Arabidopsis thaliana: one gene and its partners. The protein of the gene in region 1 interacts with the protein of each later gene in a pairwise test. Each region holds a gene or a part of one and is shown in the gene's direction. Other genes may lie near its edges.

Region 1 (4,470 bases):
AATGTCCTATGTTTCATTATCACATGAGTCTTAGCACCATTCCCATCATAGACATAACATGAACCTTCATCTGGGATTGTCCCAAGACCACTTATAGTTCCAACAAGAAGTCTGGCACCACTTTCATTTCCCGGAGGCGATTCAGTGCCATGATTAGATCCTTCATCTGAATTGAGGAAAACGTGTATAAGATCGTGATCACCCTCAATTTGTTTCTTTTCATGATACCCTTTTGGGGGAACCCTAATGGCTGTAGCAACAACTCTTCCAGATACATGCAGCTGAATATCTTTATACGCATCAGAAACATGGTTTTTACTTCTTGAAGATTGTATATGAGATATCTGAAGACCAATCCTTTCAGCAGACATCATGTCATTGTTGCCTTTCTCAACTGCTTGACCAAGGTCCGAATCCATAAACGACGACAAAGCCAATTTCTTTGAGCAAGCAGAAGAAAGCTCAAGGAAGTTATCAACCAAGGAAACCATACCAAAAAGATCCCGTCCTGATACCAAATGCAAAACCTCTCGTGTATCATACACAGACCTTTCCTCAGCTTCAAAACAATCAGGAAGAAGCTCAACAGATTCAACATCAGGCCCAAAGTAGGCCGCTCGTATAGCTGAATAAAAATCTTCTTCAAGTTCATCTAAGTAACCAGTACCATTTGCTACTCTCTTCTCCAATACTATATCATGTATTGCTTCTCTATACCACTTTAACCATTCAACTACTTCCATCTCTTGACTCAATGTCAATCCTGTTTTATACCTGTGAATCATATAACCTTGTCCCGAGTGCTTCTTCATTACCATTCTCCGAGATAGCAAATATCTATCATAGTGTGCTCTCTTTTCAGAATCTGATAGAATCTGTATCATCACCACAAATCATTCATCAGACACTTCTAAAGCTATAACTCTATCACAAAAGCTTGAAAAGCTTGAAATTTTCGATTTTGAAACTAATCATAAGAGTGAAGAGTGAAGCTTTCTTCATTGTACCTCATAAGCAGCGAGAATCTGAACGAATCGTCTCGAATTTGATGGATCTTTCTTGGATTCGATCAGATCAGGATGAGTCTCCTTGGCGAGTCTGCGAAATGATGCTTTGATCTCTGCGATTGAGCTGGTTTCGGAGACATTCAAGATATCGTAAGCGTTCTCCACCGGAAACTCGTTCCGATTGGACTCAGCCTCGCCGCTCAGCAACCGAGTTCTTCCTTGACTCGGGTTAAAGAGAATTCGCGACGGTTCGAAACCGTAATTCAGTTGAACCGGAACTAATCTACTAAAACGCCGGCGTATCAACCCGGCGAGAATCGTCATTTCACGACCAGTATGGTTTACTCAGGTGGGAACGGAGACCGGAAGTGGAAAGAGGATAACGGCACGCCGATGACACGTGGGTCTCTCGATTTCACGCCACGTCATCACGAGTTCAGACTTTATTGGTCAACAGTAAAAACGGTCTTAGGAAAGAGAGAACATGAAGCCATATTACACTAAATGGGCCTTGAATTTTAATGGGCCAGGATCCTCTCACAGATATTTTTGACTCTTAAAATGATGAGGAAGTGGATGTGAATACGTGGTCGTATACTCACCATGGCATTCCATGAATAATTAATGTCTTCTAACTTCTAAATGATCGAAAAGTACTGACAAGTTAAAGTCAAGCAGAAAAAAACAAATATTATGAGGTTTTTAGATGCTATATTCATTGCAAGTTGTATACATGCGAAATTTAACTAGTGTTGTTAAAATAATAATTATATCAGCTTTTGACTATTTGCTGCCACTCTTTGAATGATTGAAACTAATTTTCTTTCGCATTAATGCATTGTTGAAATTCATGCACAAAATTAAAAATAATTGGTTCATGTATTTGTAACCCAATGTAACAATTTTATTGTTGAACAGAAGTCAGTAACTCCACGTCATGTACTCCATTAAATGTTCCAAAATATTTTGGGCTTGATTCCAAAAAACAAATTATCACGAATAGCGATGTTTGACAATCCAACAAACATGGTTCCATTCACCTTTTTTTGCCACCTGTAAATCGCGATATTTTAAATAATTTATTTCCTCTTCCACAGATACGAATTTTTTTATAAAGAATAATACGTAACACTCTAAAACAACACAAATATCATAATTTCTCCACGAACTGACTAAGAGAGGTACCAAGAAGAAAACCAGAGAAGAATCTTCTTTAGAGAGATGGGTGTGGTAGAAGAAGCTCACAACGTGAAGGTGATTGGTTCAGGAGAAGCCACGATCGTGTTAGGTCACGGGTTCGGCACGGACCAGTCAGTATGGAAACACTTGGTTCCACATCTGGTCGACGATTACCGCGTCGTCCTCTACGACAACATGGGAGCCGGTACGACCAACCCTGACTATTTCGACTTCGATCGTTACTCAAATCTCGAAGGCTACTCTTTCGATTTGATTGCAATCTTGGAAGATCTCAAGATTGAGTCTTGTATCTTTGTTGGCCACTCTGTTTCTGCCATGATTGGTGTCTTGGCTTCTCTTAACCGTCCTGATCTCTTCTCCAAAATCGTCATGATCTCTGCTTCTCCGAGGTATAACTTTTTCACAAGTTGTACATAGAAATATGTTTTGCTTTTTATCTCATCCTGACATAGTTTAGACAAAAGGGCTTCTCTGTTCCTTCTCTTGTCTGATTTCATAAAAACTATTAAACATTACAATTTAAATAAAAAAAAATCATCTTAAGTCCTTAAATTTACACAATTATCTATTATTTCGAAATATTTATTTCTCATTCTGACATAATTTCGACAAAGTGCCTCTTTGTTTATCCTCTTGTCTGAATTATCCTATTTCTCAAAATCAGTGAAGCATTTCATTATATATTTCAATAAAAATCCGTAAATTATGAACAAAAAATCATGAAATACCCATTTGTTTATTTGTTTTTTTTTATTTGGTTTTACTGAGGTGTTACTTACACTTTTTTTAAAAAAAATTGTTGAAACGGTGCTCACACAGTATATTATATATTTTAATTTTCTTCTGACAAAAGAAACATATATAATCAAATTATATTGTTTTGGTACGTTTATAGATACGTAAACGATGTTGATTACCAAGGTGGATTCGAACAAGAAGACTTAAACCAACTATTCGAAGCCATCCGAAGCAACTACAAAGCGTGGTGCTTAGGTTTCGCTCCACTCGCCGTCGGTGGCGACATGGACTCCATCGCCGTTCAAGAATTCAGCAGAACACTCTTCAATATGCGTCCCGACATAGCTCTCTCCGTCGGCCAGACCATTTTCCAAAGTGACATGAGACAGATCTTACCTTTTGTCACTGTTCCGTGTCACATTCTCCAAAGTGTTAAGGACTTAGCTGTACCAGTCGTTGTCTCCGAGTATCTTCACGCCAATCTTGGCTGTGAATCCGTCGTCGAGGTTATTCCTTCTGATGGTCATCTTCCTCAGCTTAGCTCACCAGATTCTGTTATTCCTGTCATCCTCCGTCACATTCGTAATGACATTGCTATGTGATTGTAAGAGATTTAATTAGTTAATTATTAAACGATGTAAGAAAAGTTGAAAAAAAATATCTGATGTGATATGTCTGTCTAGTCTATTGAGAACATTATTTCGTTGTCGTTTGGTTCTGATTCGTTTATCTTGAGTATCTTGATCTTTGTTGTTCTTATCTTGTTTAACGAAAAGTCTCTGTCTTTTGTCCACAGCTTTGCTCAGAGCTCATTATTGCTTGATGTAATAGTGATGTTCGTAATTGATGGTCCATAGTGAATTATTGCAACTTTGCAAGAGTGCTTGTGCTATACTGTGTGAAGAGTAATTAACATGTGATACTAGGAATTAGCATTGAGTTTGCATTTATGGATGGGTAATCCAAACCATAAAACATACATATTGTGATGGTTTTGAAATTTGTTTGTTTGTGAACAAAAATTAGCCAAGTTTTAAACAAAGTAAAATGAAAATTTAGGGTTTTGAATTAGGATGGAGTTAAGTCATATTTTGTTAGGTTTGTTTGCTTATGAAATTATGGATTTGTTTGATGTTATTATAGGGATGCGGTGCAAAAGATATTGTTTTCTATATTATCATTTATCACTAATAACTTTCAAATTTTATTGACGCGCCTGCTCAGATTTTATTCGATTTGTTGTTTATGAAATTAGTTATAGATTGGTAAGTAAATAGCTTTAAAAAATTAGTGATACAAAACAAAATGGTAAATATTGTATTGCTTCTTACTAGTCAATACTATGATTAAACTTCCATTTTATAATTCACTTTATATAAAACTTCTATTTATTTTCTTAAAATTATTTTATTATTGAAATTTAAATATCATTTGGTACAATATTATTTCTTCATCACTAGTCAAATACTATGATTAGCCTACCCAAAAAAAAAGTCAAATACTATGATTAAACTTCCATTTTTTT
Region 2 (5,169 bases), on another chromosome or scaffold:
TTCAACAGAAGTCGATATAGGCCACGTCTTTCACTGCGATGGCTTATTGCTATGCACCACCAAGGACTATAGACTGGTGGTTTGGAATCCGCTTTCAGGTGAAACAAGGTGGATTCAACCAAGATTTTGCTACAAGAAAGATGACTGCTATGCTCTCGGTAGATCCTCTTGCAACAAGTACAAAATCTTGAGGCAGGGTCGTCTTATCAATCCTAGCGAAGAACGTTACGTGTACAACATCGTGGGGGAGGATCTTGTTATCAACAATAGCCAAGAACGTTACGAGTACGAAATCTATGACTTTAACTCTAATTCGTGGAGGAGTATTGGTGTGATCACCGGCTTGTTCAATCCAAATATCACCAGTGGCGTGTCTGTAAATGGAATCACTTACTGGTTTGATATTAGTGAACAATTCTTACTAAGTTTTGATTTCTCAACAGAGAGATTTGGAAGTGAGTCTCTCCCAGAGGGTGATAGTCATTTGGCTTTATCAGTGACTAGACAAGGGAAACGACTTTGTATGTTATCTACTAATTACACATACGTAACCGGAACAAACGTTAACTTATGGATAGCAACGAAGACTAGTGAGAACACCAGAGCAATGTCATGGAGCAAGTTCCCAATACTGCGGGGCGGAGTTGGTCTACGCTATCGTTGTCATTTTAGGGAAGGGGTGAGTTTCTTCGCATACCAAGTTAAGGAGAAGATTGTTGTAGTTTCTTGTCATAGACCCAACCGGCACTCCAAGGACATCATACACATTGTGGAAAATGATAAATTCATAGAATTGGATCATCATGGTGCAAAACCTACACATGAATTATCTCCTACCCCACGTCTCCTCATATATGTTCCAAGTTTGGTTCAAATTCAACATGGTATTTAGTTCTTTGGAGGAGGCACCAAGTCAGCCAGTGCATGGCCTTGTAATTGTCACACTAGTCTATGCATTATCTAATCTAACTCTTGATATTTTATAAGTAAGATATATGTACGCATTTCTAAGTTATAACTTGTTGCTACCCTTTTGCTAGTGGATAATTCGAGGCACATGGCATTTTCATAATTGGTCAATTAGTTATTAAGTACCAAAATTTTGAAAAGGAAAAAAATTAGAAATGCTTAGAACATATTAGAGCAAAACATATGTAAATTTTGTGCAAGAATAAGGGAAAAGCAAATAAAATCAAAATAAAATTGTATATTGTGGAATTAAGAAATGAAAGAGGAACGCAATTTAGTTTTAAAATCTGACATATTAGATATAGTTGAGTCAATTGTTTTCCACCGAAGAATTGGTTGTGGTTCCATCTAACTTAAGATATTTTGTGTTAAGATGGTTTATTTGTAGAGATATATTATAATTATATATGATTTCTAACCAAAACAACAAGAAGTTTTTAAAGATGGGTACAAATTGAATTAACTAATGTAATTCCACATTGTCATTTGGTAAAAGAAAGATATCTTGACAAAAGAGATTAAAAGAATTATGTGAAAAACCTTGGCGACCTTAAACCATCTCCAATGTCTTTATATCTTTGGCATCATTAAGAGTAAATGTGTATCTTGATCAAACCTGAAACCACTAAAGAAAAACATATGAACTCAAATAGAGGCCAATTAAAGATGAGGTCCAAAGAATAGGGAGTGTCAAGCCTTTCACAAAGACGACGCCGTTTGGCTAAAAAAGGCCCAAGATCACAACGACGACGTTTGCTGAAGAAAAATGAAAAATCTTTCACTACAATCATTAGACCAAAAAAGAAAAAAAAAATCAAAGGAGCTTCCTTTTTTCGCTCTCGTCTCCGTTTACCCTTTTGGGATTTTTCCCTAAACCTTTTTCTCTCTTTGTATAATCAAATCCTCTTTATCTTTCATTGTTTCGCGTGAATTAGCTCTGCAAAGGCTCTTCATTCTTCTCGCTTGGATTCCTCTGCACAAAAGGTACCCATTTGATGTCAATTTTGGTTTATTGTTTTGATTGCCCTGTCCAAGTGACAAGTCTTTGTATGTATGATATAGGTAGTGGGTTCTAGTTTGTAGATGAACTTGTCGAATTTGGAGGGTTTTTAGTTGGAAGCATTTATATGTGGGATTTGGAATTGTTCTGTCTATTTGTTCTTAGCTTAAAGGTTGGGACTTAGCTTAGGACTTATGAGCATGAGAGAAGGAGACTTTTTTTCCAATTCGAATCTGATTGATGAAACTTTTTTTACTGGATTTGGGTAGATATTGTTACGTTTTAAGGTAGTTGACTGTTGTTAGTTGTTGTTTACTCGAGATTAGATTATTGTCATCTACTCTTGTTATAAAAGAAGCTCCTTTGTACTATATCAGTGCTGATAACTATTAATGAAGTTCCTTTCCCTTAGGTGGAGATAGTTTCTTTGTATTTGCAAACTCAATTTATGTGAGAATATATCCACCATTATTGAGTTTCTTCAACCTATACCGTCTCTGACAATCTCGCTTTTTCGTTATTAAGAACGTTCCAGTCTTAATTAATGTTATCTTCCTTTGGATGTAATTGGTAACAAATTGCAGAAAAAAGACCATGGATGATCTTCATGGAAGAAATGGTCGAATGCACATTGGTGTAGCGCAAAATCCAATGCATGTGCAGTATGAAGATCACGGTTTGCACCATATCGACAATGAAAACAGTATGATGGATGACCATGCTGATGGTGGGATGGATGAAGGAGTGGAGACAGACATTCCTTCTCACCCTGGAAACTCAGCTGATAATCGTGGTGAAGTTGTAGACCGTGGAATTGAAAATGGAGATCAATTGACATTGTCCTTCCAGGGACAAGTTTATGTTTTTGACCGTGTCTCGCCTGAGAAGGTAACTTTAAGTTAATTTTGGTTCTTTGATGTTTTAGTTTTGGATACATATGGTCAACGTATCCACCTGGTTGGTTTTGTTTTTCGCTTATTGAAGTGCTGCTCAATATTATGCAGGTTCAAGCTGTGCTTTTGTTACTTGGTGGAAGGGAAGTACCACATACACTCCCAACAACCCTAGGATCACCTCATCAGAACAATAGGGTACTGGTAATAAAAGATTTAATACCATATGGGAAATCAGTTTATTCCCCAGTTTGTTGCTGACTAATAAATGAACCAGGGTCTATCTGGTACTCCTCAACGGCTTAGCGTTCCGCAGCGGTTAGCTTCTTTGCTCAGGTTTAGGGAGAAACGAAAAGGGAGGAACTTTGATAAGACTATTCGCTATACAGTCAGGAAAGAAGTAGCCTTGAGGTACGTTTATGTCAAGTACTAGCTTTTGTGTATGTCGAGCTTTTGAGATACGTCTGTTTTGCAATTAAGGTTTTGTTTGTTCATGCAGAATGCAGCGTAAGAAAGGTCAGTTCACGTCGGCTAAATCAAGCAATGATGATTCTGGATCCACTGGATCGGATTGGGGGTCAAACCAGAGCTGGGCCGTAGAAGGGACTGAGACTCAGAAGCCAGAGGTTTTGTAAGTTGAAAATGCTTTAAATTTCTTACAACAGTTATATTAACTTTAGTGAACTCGTTATAAAACCTCAATTAAGTCTAATACATGGAAACAATTTATTTGGTAACCATTTAATGACGCTCTTTTCACTTCCATAAACTTTGTCTATATACGTCAACTCTGAAATTTATAGTTATACTTATCATGATGGCATCACTCATTCGATACCTGCAACTGATAACTTATACTTGTGAGAGGATAAAAATAACTGAACCGACTATGTTGTTGCATGTTAAGTCATTGTAGTTGATATGAACTTATTTATAGCTTGGTATACTTGGAAAGCTTGTCTCTGTTCTTATTCTTCGTCAAATGGTTGTGAACATGTTAAGATGTCGACACTGTGGAACAAGTGAGAAGTCAACTCCAATGATGCGACGTGGACCTGATGGGCCAAGAACACTTTGTAATGCGTGTGGACTGATGTGGGCAAACAAGGTAAGCTAAGAGTTTCTTAGTTCACATTGATCACCTCGTCTCGTATCACTTTTTTGACTCATTGATCAGGCCTATATATCCGAGTATGAACCTAACAATAACATTCCCTTTGACTTTATAATATCAGGGGACTCTTAGAGACCTATCCAAAGTCCCTCCTCCGCAAACACCTCAGCATCTATCTCTGAATAAGAATGAGGTGAGCCGTGAGCGCAGTATTTCATAGAGCTGGAGTTTTGATTTGCTTATTAAGAGAACATACATTCATTTTTTTTTTCTCAATCACTTTTGTTGCAGGACGCAAATCTTGAGGCTGATCAAATGATGGAAGTAACTGGTGACATTAGCAACACACAGTGAGAACTGAGAAACCATTGGAAGCAAGAAAGGATCTCAAACAAAAACAGTTGTTATCATTTCATTTGATGATGGAATCGAATCTGAGTTGTGTTTAGGGTTTCTCTGGGTTAATCTCAGTCTATGTGGGCACATTTTAGTCTTCTACAAATTATAAGACACTCTTCACTTATTTAGAAGCTCACTCATCAGAAAAGAAAAAAAAAACTTTGCTCAGTCTCTCATCTGTGTGTTTGATTATATTTTCAGGCAGAAAACTTTTTTTTGTTCTTGTATTTGATTACAATTAGTTAAATATTTAAGACTTAGTAGAGATAATGCAATCTATGTATAAAAATAGAAACAATGATTGGTTATGTCGTGCAACCCAAGTGACCTTAATGTCGTACACACGTTCATCAGGTTAAAACGAAATTTCTCAGCAACTTCACTATTCTCTCTGTCACATTGTTTTATTCTTTTCCATTATCTTTATTGGAAACTTGATTAGAAAGAACTGATTAAGGTATGAAGATAATTAGTGTACCATTCTTCACATGATACGAGGTGAACAATAGTATATCAGAATACTAGAATAATTTTATAAGTTATAAAGATGAATGGTATACCACTTATTACAAAACGAAAACATAGTTAGATCTGAGAAGAAGGAAAGATTTTTGTTTTAAAAAATGAGATGGTTAGATATATGCCATGTTAAGAGATGCCACCATGTTCTTCTTCTTCTTCTTACCCGGAAAAAACTCTTTCTTCTTCTCTTTCCCATAAAAAGAAACAAAAAAAAACTAACTTCCCACAAATTTTGCCAAACCAAACCAAAAATAGTAATGATCTCATTCAAT
Region 3 (3,567 bases), on another chromosome or scaffold:
ACACCTTATCTTGATGTATATGATTAGTTATAACTAGAAAAGAAAACAAAACAAAGTTGAATATTATATCTAAGAATATATATTACCCATTAAGAAATAAATGAAAGAGAGAATAAAATCCACAGCATTATATAAATATTGTAGCCCTGGGAGTTCGGATATATCGGTTTAATCGGTTCGGTTTATTTAGTTTTTCGGGGTTTTTGGATTTTTTAATTTCTAGCCGAATTGAACCGAACAAAAATTCGGTTCGGGTCGGTTCGGACATCGGTTTTTTCGGTTCGGTTATTGGGTATAAATTAAATTCCGGATTAAACCGATTTTTTTTCTAATTCGGTTAATTTGAACCAAATAAACCACAAATTAAAAAAATGGACTTACAAAAATGAAATCTAATAAAAAACAAACAACAGGCCCAATACACAAATATACAGTTACAATTACAAATCCACAACACAATTATGGGTCAGGTCCATTACAAAATTAGGGTTTTGAGTTTTGACAAAAAAAATATGTACGACTACAACTCCAAACTGCGACGTCGAGCAGTGCCTCTCCAATCTAGTGATCTACCATTCCGACGACGTAATGCCCTACGAGACCTGTTAAACGCCCGTTTGTTATCCATGAAGTAAGAAAAAACATGAGATGGAAGTGTAAACCATAAAAGATCCATAAAAATAATGGATAATCTCAGATTTGGAAGTGTAAAGCCTAACTCTAAAATTTCAGAAATTATAGAGACAGAGGAAGAGCTTAGAGAGCAAAGAATCAAACAAAACAAATGATTAAAGAGAAATAAGAAGAGTTTACCCTAAGAAAGTTGAGGTTGTGGGTTGAATCTCTGAGCAAAGGTTTTTTGTAAGACCAACTGAGATTAGAGAGAATGAAAGAGGCTTGGAAGATGATGAATTCATGAAGGAGAAGAGACGAGTTGATGATTACTAATTCAATCGAAGAAAAATATCAAAGTTTCTTTGTTGTTTTCGCAAGAGGCAGAGAGCCAAAAACGAAGAAGAAACCTAATTAGGTTAAGACTCATCAATTAACCTTATATATGGCTGCAGATTCTCGGTATGGGTGAAACCGATTGGTTCCGATTACCGAACCGACCCGAACCGACTTCCGAATTCTTAAATTAATTTGGCCGATCGGTTCGATCTCCTTAATTCGGTTGCTGCCGAAAACCAAAATTTTCGTTTTTTTCGGTTCGGTTTTCTCGGGTTGAACCGTTATCCCAGGCCTAAAATATTGTATGACTCTTGACCAAAAACTAGTTAGATATATTATTTATTATGACATATTAATATTAACTTAATATAAAATAAAAATAAATGTTCAAAAAACATGATCTTAAAGCTGACAAAGCTGATTTGATTGACTAATACTTATCCTACGGTGATTTTTGGTTCTTTTACTTTTTTTGACAATTATGGAGCTGGATGGAAAAAAAATATATATAAAATCATATATTATTAATAATGAGATAAATACAACGAATTAAACGGATCAAAGTTAATATTTCCAAAAGAAAAATAGAACAGAGTCCTAATTTCATTAATTTCAACTATTGAAAACAAAATTTAAAATCAATAGGATTGATTTCTATTTTTCTTTTAGAAAAACAAAATTTGAAACAATTTCCTAATTTCCCTAAACTTGCGACTTTTTAACAATCGACCGACTTATCAAAATTAGGGATTGTTTTATATATAAAGAGAGACGCATCTCTTTATTTCATTCATCGCTTCTCCAAAATTTTCTTCAAAGAACAAATCTCCCAAATCTAAAATCTTTCTCTTCTCTCTTCGTTTCCATAACCATGTCTGCGAAGAAGATTGTGTTGAAGAGTTCCGATGGTGAATCTTTCGAGGTTGAGGAGGCGGTGGCTCTCGAGTCACAAACCATAGCGCATATGGTTGAAGACGACTGCGTCGACAACGGAGTCCCTCTTCCTAACGTCACGAGCAAGATCCTCGCCAAGGTGATCGAGTATTGCAAGAGGCACGTCGAGGCTGCTGCCTCTAAGGCCGAGGCCGTCGAGGGTGCTGCTACCTCCGATGACGATCTTAAGGCCTGGGACGCTGATTTTATGAAGATCGATCAAGCTACTCTCTTTGAACTCATTCTGGTATGTTTCTTCTCTCGATCTGATTTGATTTTTCCATCGAATTTTGAATTTTGGGATTCTAGGGTTTTCGATTTGGGAAAATTAGGGTTTCGAAATTTAGGTGTTTGTTTCAGAAATTGAATCTGCTTGAGATTGATATTGTTAGGGTTCTTATGGAACCAATCATTAATTGAATCTATCGATTTGGATTATAATCATATCTGTGTTTTTGGATTCGGATTTTGATCTAATGGTTATGAATTTGGGATCTTGTGCAGGCTGCTAATTACCTGAATATCAAGAACTTGCTTGATCTAACATGTCAGACAGTTGCGGATATGATCAAAGGAAAGACTCCAGAAGAGATCCGCACAACGTTCAACATTAAGAACGACTTCACACCAGAGGAAGAGGAAGAGGTTCGCAGAGAGAACCAATGGGCTTTTGAATGATTGATCTTCAGAGAGAAGAATCAAAAGCAGCAAGCAACCAGTTTCTTCTTCCTTATGTTTATTGCCGTTTTCAAGTGTTGTTGATGACTTGCTTTTTAATATTCTTCATGAATCATGACTATCTTCTTCCTCTTCTTTCTTTCTTATCAAGAACCAATGTTTCTTACTCTTTGTGGGATGGATAATTTGTGCTTTTAGATAATCTTCAAGAGTGATGTTGGTTTGTCTTACAAAATAACTTCTTTCAATTGTCTTGCCAATCGCCACAGAATGCTAATTTGCACGATTCATTTTAGGAATGTTCATGTGTAAATAAAAAGAAACTGAATTTGGCAGAGTCTGCAAGCAGAATGTGAAGGATCATGACGACTACTCATTGAAACCAATGGTCACCAGTTATGCCCTGCTCCTGCTCATCTACTTACATAAATATCTGCATCACGTATTTGTATCTTGTCAACATCTTCTCAAATACTAACATAATCAGCATCACCCATTCGTCAACATTCGATAACATGTGGGCTTTGTTTGCATATAAGAAAACAAAGTTTCCACTCAACCGAACGTGGATCACATGTACATCAATATAATTACTTTAATTGTTTGTCTGGCTAGTCAAGTGGTCTCTCGTCTCGTCATTGTGTATCTTATCTTTACTATGAGACTGAAAGAGATATCTTCTTTATATACAGTAACACTCACATTGTGGTCACTCGAAAAGAGCTAAAGAAAATGGAAGATTTGAAGCCAAGTGCCGCTAACTCGTTACCATTGACACTGTTAGGCTTTCTTGAGAGAGCAGCCACCGTGTATGGAGACTGTACCTCCATCGTTTACGGCAATTCCACCGTGTACACATGGCGAGAAACGAATCACCGTTGCCTCTGCGTCGCGTCTGCTCTGTCTTCCATTGGAATAGGAAGATCCGACGTTGTCTCTGTCCTATCTGCTAATACTCCGGAAATGTACGAGCTCCAGTTTTCCGTTCCGATGTCTGGCGCGATC
Region 4 (3,911 bases), on another chromosome or scaffold:
ATATATATGAAGAGTTTTATGATGATGCGAAAGCGAGCTAGCCGAAAAATAGAACTAACGTTTCGTTTATAGTCTGTAGTTAGTTAAGTTTGACGTAAACATTGATCTTGAAGGCATGGTTCAGACCACTTTTTAAAATACCTTTAAAGTTACTAGTATAGCGGAAAAAAAAAATTTGATTAACATCTGGTTCAAATTATAAAATTAAACATTTTTTATACAGAAAAATTGGAAATAGTTTTAGATAAAAAACAATACCAATTAGCACATGAAAAATAGCGGCTACTGAATAAAATAAGTAAAAACATAAGCTCACTCAAGATCAAATCCGATTTGAGTTAAAGTATTGCGATAGTCAAGATTAGATTTGATCTGTGTATCGTGGAATCATCCTAAATGTTATAATTTAAGATTACGAATCAAACAAACACATCTTGAAAACAACCACATGGCTGTTAAAAACAATTAGTATTACTATTAACTAACTTCTTACATCTTGAAAAAACAAAGAGTTCCTTCACATGAGGCCATGAGCATGTGACATGCTTGAGTTGACTTTGAAATTTGAATGGATAGGGCCACGTCAACGCATTCAAGGATCCTTAATTAGCGCTTAAGTAAAACCTCTTTATTTGTCGTGACTCGCGAACCCCTTTTTTATTAACGTTTTAGTCAACACAACATTTCATTAATGATAATTCTACTACTATTAGTTTGCAATGTTAACTAAACTCTTTTTACGTGAGAAAACTTAAGATTATCATTTCCAGACCACCGCAAGTTCCTTGAAAAGATTGTTATATATATAACAGCTGCATATCTTAATACGGATTTATGGGCTTTAATTTGAAATCAATTGTATCAAATAGGTTTGAAAAAAAAAATCGTATCACATACCTTTATTTTTTGAGTGTAGTATAAGCAAGCAATATTGATGAATGCGTGAGTCTGCAAAATTTAACCCCAAAAAAAAAGTAAGCAACAATATATATTCAGCAATCATGTTAGAAAGTATTTTAATCATGTTGAACTGAACGATCTCCGCGCTAATTAGTATTCCTAAGAGACACCAATCAGAAACTATTGGATAGTTCGACGGTTTAGAATTTGTCCAGTTGAGAATGGTTTTCAAACTATTTTATAAAATTTTTTTAGCGAATTTCTAAAGTTAAGTTGACCAGCACATCTTGTGGTTAAATGTTTCACTCGTCGTTGAAAAAGTCTTTTCAACAAAATCTTACTTTCTGGATATAATTAATATCATATGTACAAAAATTGATTAATGGGTCTTAAACTATTTCATGTATTTACTATTTAGATAGAGACGTTTAAAAAAAAACTATTTTCGTGTCTTTACTATTTAGATAGAGATTACACGACATGGAAATAATAGTACATGGTCAAGTTTATATACGGACGACTCTCATGAAATCCTACAACAAGAAAACAAAGCAACATATAGTATAATGTGAAATATACACTGTTAAGCAACATATTACGTATTATAGTTATTTTTATGTTAATGACGTACAATGTACAAATTCTAGTATTCTTCACCTGAATTATTTGATGCTAAACTACGTACGTCGTGGTTATTTTCATTGTTCTTTAATTAGCCATCTCGAAATATAATTATTTCAATGTTACAAGATTTTAGTCGCTCTAATAGGATGTTTATGAATTTAAACCGACCCAATCCGACTTGTTTTTTCTTCTAAAAAATATTATCTTGAAAATGATTTTATTAAATTCGTTTTCGTCTTAGTCTAATTCAGCTATAAAGTATAAACGTTATGACCAAGTCCATAATCAAATCATCATAGTATTTCTCCTTAATCACAACTACAAGAAAAGGAAATGGGTCATGACTTTCTTATAAAACATTAACTAAGATTTGACCAAACATAATTTTGTATTATCAATATTACACCATAAATACGGCCACATATCCTCCTAGTTTCTTCACACAACTCTCCCCTCAAAACATTCCATCAAAGGAAAAAAATGGCGACACAAAATGCGATTCTGAAAAAAGCTCTCATCATTTTCCTCTTTACTCTAACCATCATGACAGGAACCGCGTTTTCACAAAACTGTGGTACAAACGGGTGTAAAGGCAACATGTGCTGCAGCAGGTGGGGATATTGTGGTACCACAAAAGCCTACTGTGGCACTGGGTGCCAGAGTGGACCTTGCAACTCTAAACCTAAACCTACTCCGACTCCAAGCGGTAGTGGCGGTCTAAATGCTGGTCCTCGTGGTACCATAGCAAGCGTTATCACACCAGCGTTCTTCAACAGCATCATGAGTAAAGTCGGAAGCGGTTGCCCAGCGAAAGGGTTTTACACTCGCCAGGCTTTCATCGCAGCCGCTGAATCGTTCGCAGCCTACAAAGGAACTGTTGCTAAGCGTGAGATTGCCGCCATGTTGGCTCAGTTCTCTCACGAATCTGGAAGTAAGTTCACCGTTTACTACATTCTATTATTCTTTTTATGTATCAGAAAATGTCTAAAAAGGAATTATTAAAGTATTATCATGTTTAAAAATTTATATAAATATCTGATTTATCAGTTTGCATTAAAAACTTTATTTTGATAATTGAAGAAAAATATAGAGACAGGAATATTTTCCTCATAAGAAATAAGGATTTGCTAGCTATATATATTACCAAAATGTGTTCCAAGAATGTGTCTAAAACAAGTTTAAAATAAAGTTTATCTGTTTGGTTATGTAAAGGTTTTTGTTACAAAGAAGAAATAGCCAGAGGAAGGTACTGCTCACCAAGCACAACATATCCTTGTCAACCCGGAAAGAACTACTATGGTCGCGGTCCGATCCAAATCACATGGAACTACAACTATGGTGCAGCCGGAAAGTTCCTTGGACTTCCTCTCTTGAAGGACCCAGATATGGTGGCTCGTAGCCCAACTGTGGCTTTCCAGTGTGCCATGTGGTTTTGGAACAAGAATGTGCGTCCGGTTTTGAGCCAAGGGTTTGGTGCAACCACGAGGAGGATCAACGGTGGTGAATGTAATGGTGGGCGTCCAGCTGCAGTGCAGAGCAGGGTTAACCATTACTTGGACTTCTGCAAGAAGCTTGGGGTCACTCCTGGAACCAATCTCTCATGTTGAAGACACTACTAGTTTATGAGGGTTTTTCATTAATGTCGTCTGGTTAAGAATTTCGTATCGAATAATAAAGTGAAGTCGAAAATACTAGAACTTATAAAATTTGTAAGAGATTAGAAGTTATATTGTGTGGTTGATGTCTCTTAAGGTAACTATATTGTGTGTTGTTTGTATCCGCTCGCTAGCATAAGTAATAAAGATGGAAGTATTATCCAATCAATATATTGGTTTCCCTGTGTTTCACACTAGACTAGTATACATGCATATAAGTAACGAAAATTACTTTTCTTCTATCATCACATCTTTTCTTCTATCATCAGTTCATCACATCTTTTCTTATTAAGTTTTAAAGAAAAGAAATTAGAGTACTAGCGGAACCAAACGAGGCTTGTGATTGATGATAACAACCAAAACAAATAAAAAAGAAGAGGAATAATGTTATAGATCACATATGATCCGATCATTTCTAACCGTCATGAAATTCATCGTAGATATGACAACATAATTATTAAGGATGTGCTAGTCTTTGGGTAACATTTTATGCTATTGTTAGATTCTGTAAAAATAAACTAGTGTTTTTGTTTTGGGATTGGCTTAAACTGGAGGCCATACTGGTTACTTGGTGATCTGAATCTAATTTCCTAAGAACCACCTTCGATTTTGTTTTTTTAATGATTCTTTAATTATTCCACATGTTTATATAATTTGCTCCTTTTTAAGTGCATCTGAAAGTCATAGGGATGGAACATTGATAACAAAGCAACAGATTGTCACGTGAAAGAT

The links.
Region 2: the proteins of KAI2 (region 1) and ZML1 interact in binary tests that used the Arabidopsis thaliana proteins (3 or more experiments, as listed by UniProt).
Region 3: the proteins of KAI2 (region 1) and SKP1 interact in binary tests that used the Arabidopsis thaliana proteins (3 or more experiments, as listed by UniProt).
Region 4: the proteins of KAI2 (region 1) and AT2G43610 interact in binary tests that used the Arabidopsis thaliana proteins (3 or more experiments, as listed by UniProt).

What each region holds. Positions count from the first base shown.
Region 1 is NC_003075.7:17,616,122-17,620,591, reverse strand, and holds KAI2 (alpha/beta-Hydrolases superfamily protein), read left to right. Parts: upstream 1-1,935; 5' UTR 1,936-2,228; coding exon 2,229-2,596; intron 2,597-3,102; coding exon 3,103-3,547; 3' UTR 3,548-3,933; downstream 3,934-4,470. Other genes in the region: AT4G37480 (Chaperone DnaJ-domain superfamily protein), read right to left, coding at 1-875, 1,008-1,331.
Region 2 is NC_003074.8:7,420,269-7,425,437, forward strand, and holds ZML1 (ZIM-like 1), read left to right. Parts: upstream 1-1,767; 5' UTR 1,768-1,953; intron 1,954-2,553; 5' UTR 2,554-2,563; coding exon 2,564-2,857; intron 2,858-2,973; coding exon 2,974-3,066; intron 3,067-3,139; coding exon 3,140-3,273; intron 3,274-3,361; coding exon 3,362-3,493; coding exon of another isoform or gene 3,494-3,497; exon of another isoform or gene 3,498-3,864; coding exon 3,865-3,970; intron 3,971-4,097; coding exon 4,098-4,169; intron 4,170-4,267; coding exon 4,268-4,330; 3' UTR 4,331-4,637; downstream 4,638-5,169. Other genes in the region: AT3G21170 (F-box/associated interaction domain protein), read left to right, coding at 1-892. UniProt on the Arabidopsis thaliana protein: Transcriptional activator that specifically binds 5'-GATA-3' or 5'-GAT-3' motifs within gene promoters.
Region 3 is NC_003070.9:28,514,893-28,518,459, forward strand, and holds SKP1 (S phase kinase-associated protein 1), read left to right. Parts: upstream 1-1,626; 5' UTR 1,627-1,822; coding exon 1,823-2,131; intron 2,132-2,388; coding exon 2,389-2,562; 3' UTR 2,563-3,004; downstream 3,005-3,567. Other genes in the region: AT1G75945 (uncharacterized protein), read right to left, coding at 521-602, 814-917; AT1G75960 (AMP-dependent synthetase and ligase family protein), read left to right, coding at 3,295-3,567. UniProt on the Arabidopsis thaliana protein: Involved in ubiquitination and subsequent proteasomal degradation of target proteins. Together with CUL1, RBX1 and a F-box protein, it forms a SCF E3 ubiquitin ligase complex. The functional specificity of this complex depends on the type of F-box protein.
Region 4 is NC_003071.7:18,087,278-18,091,188, reverse strand, and holds AT2G43610 (Chitinase family protein), read left to right. Parts: upstream 1-1,817; 5' UTR 1,818-2,004; coding exon 2,005-2,455; intron 2,456-2,736; coding exon 2,737-3,131; 3' UTR 3,132-3,377; downstream 3,378-3,911.